Caenorhabditis elegans: one gene and its partners. The protein of the gene in region 1 interacts with the protein of each later gene in a pairwise test. Each region holds a gene or a part of one and is shown in the gene's direction. Other genes may lie near its edges.

Region 1 (4,002 bases):
TAAAGGGGTTCTTGCCTTCCTCATTGCATTTTTCGCGCTCCATTGACAATTGCCTTGGGAAAGTCGTGTACTCCACGCGGACTACAATCGAGCCGCGACGCGACACGCAACGCGCCGTAAATCTACCCCAGATATGGCCTGGCCTAGTTCGGCAAAAACTCTTCCATTTCAAGTCATGAGGGAAGCCAGAAATCCGTGAAATTTTCCCTGAAAAAATGCTAAAAATCGAAAAATTTTCCGAATACTCCCCTGTTCCACAGCCGAATTCGCTCAGTCCACTGGAGCGCACTTGCTATTTTTGCTTTTTTTTGCGCACTAAAACTTTTTCGCTGGTTTTTTAAAAGAAAAGTGGAAAAATAGAGCTCAAAAATTGGGAGAACCGTGTTTTTTTTTCAAAATTTGCTCCGATTTCTGGCTTCTCCTATAAATTGAAATGGAAGAGTTTGTCGAACTAGGCCATTTTGGCTCGGTCATATCTGGGGTAGATTTACGGCGCGGTGCGGCTCGATTGTAGAAATAAATGTATTTGTCCGTGTGGAGTACACGACTTTCCCATGCGTTGTCCGGCGATTGTCAATGGAGCGTGAAAAATTCAATGAGGAAGGCCAAAATCCCGTGATTTGCAAAATTAGCAGCGCCGCACAGAAAAAGAGGCGGAGCGTAATTTTGCAATCCTGTGGCACGGTTTTTTCCTTCTTTTTTGTTGATTTTTTTCCAATAAAATTAAGGTTTTACTTGTTTTTTTTTTCATTTTTTTCCGAATCGGAAAAATGAGAAAAAGCCGTGCCGCAGGGTTGCAAAATTACGCTCCGCCTCTATTTCTGTGCGTCGCCGATTTTTTTTTGTTTTTAGAGGAAATTTTTACTTTAAATAGGCCATAAATCGGTATTCTTTAGCATTTTTCGTTTAAAAAATTCAAGAAAAAGTTTCTGTAGAGCTTCCTTACAGCGGGGCCATCACACCAGCGATTTCAAAGATAATCAGCTCGAATAAACTGCAGGAGAACGCAAATGTCAGGGAGAATATGAACTGGACAATTCTGTTGTGTACCTGAATGAAAAATTTGAGAAAAAACTATTTAAAAAATGAAAAATGTTCAAAACCTCGTAATTTTTAAATAGCTGTTTTGTGTAGAAAAGCCAGCCGGTAGCGAAGAAAAGAATAAGGGAACCGAGCATTACGTTGGCATCTTTTGTGTCCACATCTGTTAATCCGTCCATTTTTTTGCTAAAAAATCGCTCTGAAATGTGCCAAAAATGGATAAAAAAGCAAATTGACACGCTACTGAATGAGGAATGGGCTACTCCGTGGAAAACCTGACTGTCAGAGTTACAACGTAAACAGACAAAATATTATGAGAATAATAGTTTTCTATAATTAAAATATTCATTATTATTATCAAACTATTGAACATTTTTGTTTTATAAAAGAAATTCGATTGAAAATCTAAAATGTTTTGGGAAATCCACTTCCCCCGAAACACTAGTGACTCTGTGCAATGCAAACCTGCTCCATCGAACAATGGGTTTTCTTCAATTTTTAATATTTTTTCGACGTGTTTTTTATTGATTTTTGGCGAATATCCACATTTTCAAGTGTTTTTTTTGCAATTTTTTTTGAAAATTATTCAAAATTAATATTTCAGCACAAAATGAAGTACGCGCAACTTGTCATGGGACCTGCTGGCAGTGGAAAAGTGAGATTTTTCGAAATTTTCTCGCTGAAAAATTGTAAAATTTTATATAAAAATCCAATTTCAGTCAACCTACTGTTCAGTAATGTATAATCATTGCCTAAGCACCGGGAGAACATTGCGAATGGTGAATTTGGATCCGGCATGTGAAGTTTTTAATTACCCAGCTGTTGTTGGTGGGATTTTTTTTTTCGAAAAAATTGGACTAACAATAAGAATATTTTTTTCAGATGTTCGCGATTTGATCAGTGTCAATGATGTTCAGGAGGACGAGGAGTTGATTTTGGGACCTAATGGAGCTCTGGTGTTTTGCATGGAGTAAACTTTAGGCTTAAATTTAGGTTTAGGCTTAAGCTTAGGCTTAGGCTTAGGCTCAGGCTCAGGCTCAGGCTTTTCAGATACCTTGTCTAAAACCTAGAAGGCAAAATTAGATTTTTTCGGTTTTTTCTGCAAAATTTGAATTTTTTGGTAAAAATGTATTTTTTTTTGGCAAAATTGGATTTTTTTCGGTTTTTTTTTAAATTAAAAATTGATTTTTTTTCGGTTTTTTCAGCAAAAATGAAAGTTTTCCGATTTTTTTCAGCAAAATTGGATTTTTTTCGGTTTTTTTTTCGGCAAAACTGGAATTTTTTCGGTTTTTTTTAGTAAAAATTGATTTTTTTTTCGATTTTTTTTCAGCAAGATTGGAATTTTTTGGCAAAAATTGATTTTTTTCGGTTTTTTTCAACAAAATTGGAATTTTTTCGGTTTTTTTGTTGGTAAAAATGGTTTTTTTTTGTTTTTTCTTTCAACAAAAATGGAATTTTTTCGGTTTTTTTTTCAGCAAAATTGGAATTTTTTCTGTTTTTTCAGCAAAATTGGCCGAAACCTAAGCTTAAAAACCGAAAAAATACCAATTTTGCTGAAAAAAACCGAAAAAATTCCAATTTTGCTGAAAAAAAACCGAAAAAAATCAATTTTACTTTAAAAAAACCGAAAAAATTCCAATTTTGCTGAAAAAAATCGAAAAAAAAAATTTTACTAAGGCTTAGGCTTAGGCTTAGGCTTAGGCGTATGCCTAGAATTCGGAAAAAAATGGAAAAATAATTCTAAAAACATTTTCTTTTCCAGATACCTTGTCCAAAATCTCGAATGGCTCCACGACGAGCTTGACGAAGGAGAAGACGACTATTTCGTGATCGATTGCCCGGGACAGATCGAACTCTACTCGCATCTTCCAGTTATGCGTCAGATCGTCGATGCTCTCAAATCATGGGACTTTAACGTGTGCTCCGTCTTCCTAATCGACACGAATTTCGTTTTAGACGCCGAGAAATTCATCTCCGGAGCTCTTACAGCGCTCTCTGCAATGGTTGCAATTGAGACCCCAGCGATAAATGTTCTAACGAAGATGGATCTGTTATCGGAGAGAAATAAGCAACTGGTCGACGAATTTCTCGAGACAGATACCCGCTCAATTGTAGATCAAGACGAGACTGTCTGGAATTCGAAGCATCGGAAGCTGACGCGAACTATTGCTCAGGTGCTCGAGGATTATTCGATTGTGAAGTTTGTTCCGTTGAATTGTGAAGATGAGGAGAGTATTGATCAGCTTTTACTGACAATTGACACTACAATTCAATATGGAGAAGACTTGGAGGTGAAGGATCATTATCCAGAGGAGCTTGATCCGGAGCAGCAGGAGTAGTGGTCGGAAATTTGGAAAAATTTTCGCACTGAAAAATGATTTTTTTTCGTTGATTTGTTACTACTTACTTTTTTTTGTTTTATTCTGCCTTTTCTTCCCCGTTGATTAAAATTTGTTAAACACTTTTTTTCCCCGATTCTATATAATTTGTTGGTTCGTAAAATCCATTTAATTCCTGCTAAAAATTGAATTTTTTCAGGCATTTTTCAGGCTTTTTCCCATGTCGATTTACGGAGGATTTCGTACTACACGTGGACAATTTTGCCGAAATTTTTGCTGATTTTTTTGTGAAGAAAAACATAAGAAAACACACAATTTTCTTCCAAAAAACCAGAAAAATCGGAAAAAACGAAAATTTTCATTTTTTTCAAAAAAAAAACAACGAAATTATTGATTTTAGATTAAAAACGATATATTAAAAACGATTAGCAATTTTCAGTGTAAAATTTGAAAAAAATTTAAAAAATGCTCCAAAAACCAGAATTTTAGCTACAAAAAATGCAAAAAAAATATAAAAATAGCTCAGACTTGTCCACGTGTAGTACAGGATTCTCCGTAAATCGACATGCATAAAAACCGCGCCGCAAGATTGCAAAATCTTCGGCGCGGCACGGTTTTTCCC
Region 2 (3,664 bases), 7.0 Mb from region 1:
GTTAATGGAGAGAATCTGTTTTTGGAGTGGTTTGAGGATGAATATGCAGAATTTGAAGTAAGCCAAGAGGTCCGAAAATAATTTAATTCATCCTTTTTATTCAGGTGAATCACGTGAATTTCGATATAATCGGTCACGAAATGCTTCTTCCTCCAGCTGCAACTCCTCTTTCGAATCTGCTACTTCATAAGCGATTGCCCAGTGGATTTGAAGAACGAATAAGAACTGTAGGAAACTTTTTAAATTTGAAAATTAATTATATATATATTTGCAGCAAATCGTATTCTACCTACATATTCGAAAATTGGAACGAGATTTGACCGGTGAAGGAGACACAGAATTACCTGTGAGAGTGTTGAATTCTGATCAGGAACCAGTTGCCATCGGTGATTGTATTAATTTACGTGAGTTCATCTGCATAGAAAACACCATATTTCTACTCAAATTAACAATTTTCAGATAATTCGGATCTTCTATCCTGCACTGTGGTTCCTCAACAACTATGTTCTCTTGGAAAACCTGGTGATCGTCTTGCTCGATTCCTTGTCACTGATAGACTTCAATTAATTCTTGTCGAACCGGATTCTCGAAAAGCCGGATGGGCAATTGTTCGATTCGTAGGACTTCTTCAAGATACAACAATTAATGGAGATTCTACGGATTCGAAAGTTTTGCATGTTGTGGTGGAAGGGCAACCCTCGAGAATTAAGGTAAGAATACTAACGGGAAAAAAAAATCAAAAAATTACTTCTGTTTCAGAAAAGACATCCGGTTTTAACTGCAAAGTTCATATTCGATGATCACATTCGGTGTATGGCAGCAAAGCAACGGCTCACCAAGGTAACGGAAAAAATAACCAAAAAGACGGAAAGTTATTGTAAATGGACGAAATCGGCGAAATTAATTGAAAACGTTTGAATTTGCCGCTAAAACCAAACGAAAACCAAACGAAAGCGAAATTTAACTATCCCTTCAGGTAGAATATACATTTTATTTCTCTTTATAGGGTCGCCAAACAGCACGTGGTCTGAAACTTCAGGCGATATGTTCAGCTCTTGGAGTTCCACGTATCGATCCAGCGACAATGACGTCATCACCACGAATGAATCCATTCAGAATTGTGAAAGGATGCGCACCGGGAAGTGTACGAAAAACTGTTTCCACATCATCATCGTCAAGCCAAGGACGTCCCGGACATTATTCTGCAAATCTTAGATCAGCATCTAGAAATGCAGGAATGATACCAGATGATCCAACTCAACCGAGTAGTTCTTCGGAAAGAAGATCCTAGGGATCAATATCTCTTCAGTTTCATCATTTTATGCTGTAAATTGTATTTAAGTATTCCTATTCTTTGTAGTACTGTATTTACACATCGTCTAGTTAAAATCACAAATCTCCGAAAAAACAAACCAGTGAACATGTGATATTTCTCTTGCCCATAGTTCTCTTTTTTTTTTGAAACAAAAACAATTACTTTTATGCTCACCTATTCGAGCCATATTTTTTTCCCAATTACCGGTTGTTTATTTTAATTTCTTTTTTTTTTCTGTAAATCTACTTTATTTTTAAAACTGCATTTGAGATTGTGTATATTTTTTCAAAATGGTTCAAATGCCGAATCTATCTACTTTTTAATCATTATTCAAACAGAAAAACCGATTATTTATTCAGATTCTCAAAAATGGCTGAAAAAGCTGAAAATCTTCCATCTTCTTCGGCCGAAGCTTCAGAAGAGCCATCACCTCAAACTGGACCAAATGTGAATCAAAAACCATCGATTTTGGTTCTTGGAATGGCTGGTTCTGGAAAAACGACATTTGTTCAGGTAACTTTCATTCAATTTTGAGAGTTTTCAAACATTACTATTTTCAGCGTCTCACAGCATTCCTACATGCTCGTAAAACACCTCCATATGTGATTAATCTGGATCCGGCAGTTAGCAAAGTACCTTATCCAGTGAATGTTGACATTCGAGATACTGTGAAATACAAGGAAGTTATGAAAGAATTCGGAATGGGACCAAATGGAGCAATTATGACATGTCTTAACCTGATGTGTACTCGTTTTGATAAAGTAATTGAGTTGATTAATAAGAGATCTTCTGATTTCTCAGTTTGTCTTCTTGATACTCCTGGACAAATTGAAGCATTCACTTGGAGTGCTAGTGGATCTATTATCACTGATTCATTGGCAAGTAGCCATCCCACGGTAAGGGATTTTGATTTATGAAATCTGCTTGAAATGAAAAAAGATTCTAATAAATTTTTGACTTTTAAACATTTTTTACAGTTATATTTGGTCTATTTTCTATCATTAAAAGCAAAATGAAAAGTCGATTCTACTCCATATTTATTAATTTCGACTTTTCAGGTGGTAATGTACATTGTGGATTCCGCTCGTGCCACAAATCCAACTACATTCATGTCCAATATGCTCTACGCATGTTCCATTCTCTACCGTACCAAACTTCCATTCATTGTCGTTTTCAACAAAGCTGATATTGTCAAACCAACATTTGCACTCAAATGGATGCAAGATTTCGAAAGATTTGATGAAGCTTTAGAGGATGCCAGAAGCAGTTATATGAATGATTTGAGTCGTTCATTGAGTCTCGTTCTTGATGAATTCTATTGCGGACTGAAAACAGGTTTTTATTCGAAATAAAACCTTTTTTAAATAATAAATTTCAGTTTGCGTCAGTTCTGCAACTGGAGAAGGATTCGAAGATGTAATGACAGCAATCGATGAAAGTGTTGAAGCATACAAAAAAGAATATGTTCCAATGTATGAAAAAGTGTTGGCTGAGAAAAAACTATTGGATGAGGAGGAGAGAAAGAAAAGAGATGAAGAGGTAATTGTAGTAATTTAATTCTGATTATCTTCAAATTTTCAGACTCTGAAAGGAAAAGCTGTTCACGACCTGAACAAAGTCGCCAATCCCGACGAATTTCTGGAGTCGGAGTTGAATTCAAAAATCGATAGAATTCATTTGGGCGGAGTCGATGAAGAGAATGAGGAGGATGCTGAACTCGAAAGATCCTGATTTTCTTTTTGTTTTTGAATTTTTATTCTATTTTGATCCCTGTTTACTTCTTATTGTTCTCATTTTGTTGCGTTGTTTTACATTTTACTCATTTTTGCATAAACTTGTTGCAAAAATCAATATAATTTTTGATCTGGAAATGGTTTTAAACCTTAACCTTTCATATATTAATAATTTTTTTTCAAAAAAACGTTCTAAAAAGGTTCCTCATTTTTTCAATATAGGAAATTTTGAAGATCTTTTCCAAAAATGAGGTTCTTCGCTTGAAAAGCCAACATTTAAAACCTTTTTTTTTCCAGAAACCTAGTGGTTAATGTCTGAAAAGACGTTCCACAAGGCACAGACCATCCGTGCAAAGGCATCCGGAGTGCCTTCAATCGTCGAAGCTGTACAGTTTCATGGAGTTCGCATCACAAAAAACGATGCTTTGGTTAAGGAGGTACTACCCAAATTTCAAAATGTTGCACAATTCAATTGAAAATATAAATTGTGAATTAAATTCAACTTACATGTTTTTTCAGGTTTCCGAATTATACAGAAGTAAAAATCTAGATGAACTTGTTCATAACTCTCATCTGGCGGCTCGTCATCTTCAAGAAGTTGGATTAATGGATAATG
Region 3 (3,004 bases), on another chromosome or scaffold:
AAGATAAAGGAATGATTGTGAGTCAATTTTCTTTCTGATTGGTTTTAACTGCAAACAATTTTAGATGATTGATGGTGATAACATCCGTAACCTAAACATCAGTTCACTTCGCGAACAAGTATGTATTGTAAGTCAAGAGCCAACGTTGTTTGATTGCACAATTGGAGAAAATATTTGCTACGGAACAAATCGAAATGTTACATATCAAGAAATTGTTGAAGCTGCCAAAATGGCAAATATTCACAATTTCATTCTAGGATTGCCAGATGTAGGGTGATATTTTCATAAATCAGAACTCATTCTAAAAATTTCAGGGTTATGATACTCATGTCGGAGAGAAAGGAACTCAACTTTCGGGTGGTCAAAAACAAAGAATTGCCATTGCACGGGCACTTGTTCGATCTCCTTCTGTTTTACTTTTGGATGAAGCAACTAGTGCATTAGATACGGAAAGTGAAAAGGTTTGTATGAAAAATATTGAAATAGCAAATTGACTTTGAAGAATATCGTTTTATTCACTGTTTACAGATTGTACAAGAAGCATTGGACGCCGCAAAACAAGGTCGCACGTGTCTTGTCATTGCTCATCGGTTGAGCACAATTCAAAATAGTGACGTCATTGCGATCGTCAGTGAGGGTAAAATTGTGGAAAAGGGAACACATGACGAGTTGATAAGGAAGAGTGAAATATATCAGAAATTCTGTGAAACGCAGAGGATTGTCGAAAGTCAATAATTTAAATATGTATTAGATTCTCAAACACGAGTTTACAAACTAATTTGCATGGAGTTTCATTTTTTTAATGTTCAATTGAAACAGCTTGATATTTAAAATTTAAATATGCTCATCAAGTAAAATTTTTAGAAAATTTTGTAAACCCGTAATAATTTTTTTGTCATCTAGGTACTTTGCTTTTTCCCCAAATAGCCTTTCCCTCCATCTTGTGTATTTTGTGTGAAATTCTTTGAATTGTGATAATTATCTTTGAATTGTGATAATTGTCTTTTTGTTTTCTTTTTTAAATATATTATTTACCATTTTCACTGCATAAATATTTTTATTTGAAAAAAAACTACTCATCATTCAATATGTAGAATCTAAAATAGGATTTCTTTAGACTATTATATTTTTAATTTAACTTTTTTACTGTAGTTTCATTACACCTATTTCAATTTAAGATCAATGAAACATCCAATCTAAATTTGACGAAGATTGATAAAAGAATCTCTAGAAGATCAAAAATTGGAAATGCTGTGAAAAATTGTAAGGCTGAACAAAATACACGCTCTTTGAATTGGAGGGCATTCGAAGGAAAGTGCTACAGTGTTTGAAAATTTATTTTAAAAGCAATAATAGACCATAAAAATCGAAGGTAACATTGTTTTCATCGACGACTTCCAAACAAGTGGCAAAAAGTGAGATTTTTCCAATTTTCAAAAATTCATATAAACTTTAGAATTTTTTTTTGAATGTTATCACTATTATTTTTTATTAAGTTACAGGAGTTTGATATGAAGTCACGACGTTTTGCTAATAGTAAGAAGGCAAGTGATGAGAAAAGTGAGAAGTGCCTTTCACGACTCAACCGTATGAAATGTATTAATCGGCCCCATAGAAAATATATTTCTCTAAAAATACAATAACATTTTTAATTTAAAAATAACGTGTAACATGTGTTCTACGTGTTCTACAAAAAATATCTGATAGTCATCATCCAGAAAAAAAAATTTCCTTCATCTCAATCCACATCACAATCATTAATTGTTATTTCTGATCAGCTCTCTTCTGGTTGAAAAAGTGAGTTTACTCTTTAGAAACGTGCGATTTCAGACAGCTTGAAATTGGCTTGATGCTCTGCTTAATGTTTTGTTTCAACAAAACAATTGATTTCTTTCGGCAAATCGGAAGTCACATATTTTTGCTGCTTAACAACTGATATCAACGGACCATTTTCAGACTTTCGATTCATCGAAGTAAAACAAAGAAATGACGACTGGAAAGAGTAAAAACACGAAGAAAGACTGTGCTGACAAGAAGAAAACTTCGAAAACGAAGAAGAAGACTTCAAATTTGTCGGTTTCAAGATCCCAAACTTCTGTGGATATGAATGAGAAGGACAAGGCAAAGGAGGCAAAGGAGTTGAAAGAGAAGAAGGCAAAAGAAGAAGCCGAGAAGAAGGTTGTTGCCACACCGAAGAAAGATGCCTCGAAGGATCATGCAAAGAAGGAGGATGATCCTAATAAGGTAACAGTTACGATTTTGAAGTTGATTAGGAAAACACACTGCTAAAAATTTCTTTTGGAAAAAGTTGAGAATATGAACAATTTCAGCAAAACGAGCCAAGTGGAATGGATGTTCTTGTGAAGGAGGACGGCAAGAAGACAAAGATGGACGATGGATACGAGGATTTTGGTCCAGGAGCTGGTGCTGCTCAATGAGCAACTGTCCGAGAAACTGAATCGAAAGGGAACAATTCAATATTGTATTGTAATAAAAGTTTTTTTAAAGTTCGGTGTTTGTGGTTGCAAGTATCTGATTTTGAAGCAAGACATTACACGGGGCCACCCGCCAGGGCTGTTCAGCAACCGGGAATTGTAAGAACAAATGTTGCATTAAAAATCTGCTGGAAGGGCACGAGGAAGAGTAGTGAAAAATACTTGTGAAATATTGTTCGCCACTTGCAAAATGCATCCAAAATATTCGCTAAGTATTTTACAAACGGCATGCGCAGTCTCATTTGGTTTTCAGTTTTTTCCCAAGTGTTTCAGAAAGAGAACACCAGGTCAGTTCCTCGTCCAATTCTTTGTCATTCGGAAATTAATGACATCATCAACTTCTTATCACTATTATCAAAAGAAGAAAAAGAGATCAGCGAATTTCACAGAAAACAACGAAAAATAAAAAAGAAGAGATGAAGGTAAAAGACAAAAAACTGTTACAAAAAAATGAAAAAGGGACGGAGAATCGCCTCGTCTTCATTTTAACTTCATCAGTTTGCCCTGAA

Evidence for each region. Proteins that work in one complex are often made in the same cells at the same time.
Region 2: the proteins of gex-4 (region 1) and gop-2 interact in a two-hybrid assay, tested with the Caenorhabditis elegans proteins (one large-scale study listed by BioGRID).
Region 3: the proteins of gex-4 (region 1) and C34G6.3 interact in a two-hybrid assay, tested with the Caenorhabditis elegans proteins (one large-scale study listed by BioGRID).

Annotation. Positions count from the first base shown.
Region 1 is NC_003281.10:12,216,278-12,220,279, reverse strand, and holds gex-4 (GPN-loop GTPase 3), read left to right. Parts: upstream 1-1,645; 5' UTR 1,646-1,651; coding exon 1,652-1,696; intron 1,697-1,760; coding exon 1,761-1,869; intron 1,870-1,923; coding exon 1,924-2,011; intron 2,012-2,803; coding exon 2,804-3,380; 3' UTR 3,381-3,501; downstream 3,502-4,002. Other genes in the region: gphr-1 (Golgi pH regulator), read right to left, coding at 947-1,050, 1,104-1,220.
Region 2 is NC_003281.10:5,257,349-5,261,012, forward strand, and holds gop-2 (GPN-loop GTPase 1), read left to right. Parts: upstream 1-1,674; 5' UTR 1,675-1,684; coding exon 1,685-1,828; intron 1,829-1,875; coding exon 1,876-2,211; intron 2,212-2,373; coding exon 2,374-2,650; intron 2,651-2,693; coding exon 2,694-2,854; intron 2,855-2,896; coding exon 2,897-3,046; 3' UTR 3,047-3,164; downstream 3,165-3,664. Other genes in the region: gop-1 (Protein CLEC16A homolog), read left to right, coding at 1-57, 105-227, 275-404, 460-710, 760-840, 1,007-1,291; SAM50-like protein gop-3, read left to right, coding at 3,360-3,485, 3,568-3,664. UniProt on the Caenorhabditis elegans protein: Small GTPase required for proper nuclear import of RNA polymerase II (RNAPII). May act at an RNAP assembly step prior to nuclear import.
Region 3 is NC_003279.8:5,894,902-5,897,905, forward strand, and holds C34G6.3 (Non-histone chromosomal protein HMG-14), read left to right. Parts: upstream 1-1,716; 5' UTR 1,717-1,797; intron 1,798-1,956; 5' UTR 1,957-1,986; coding exon 1,987-2,244; intron 2,245-2,330; coding exon 2,331-2,438; 3' UTR 2,439-2,504; downstream 2,505-3,004. Other genes in the region: pgp-2 (ABC-type xenobiotic transporter), read left to right, coding at 1-17, 65-268, 315-461, 529-735.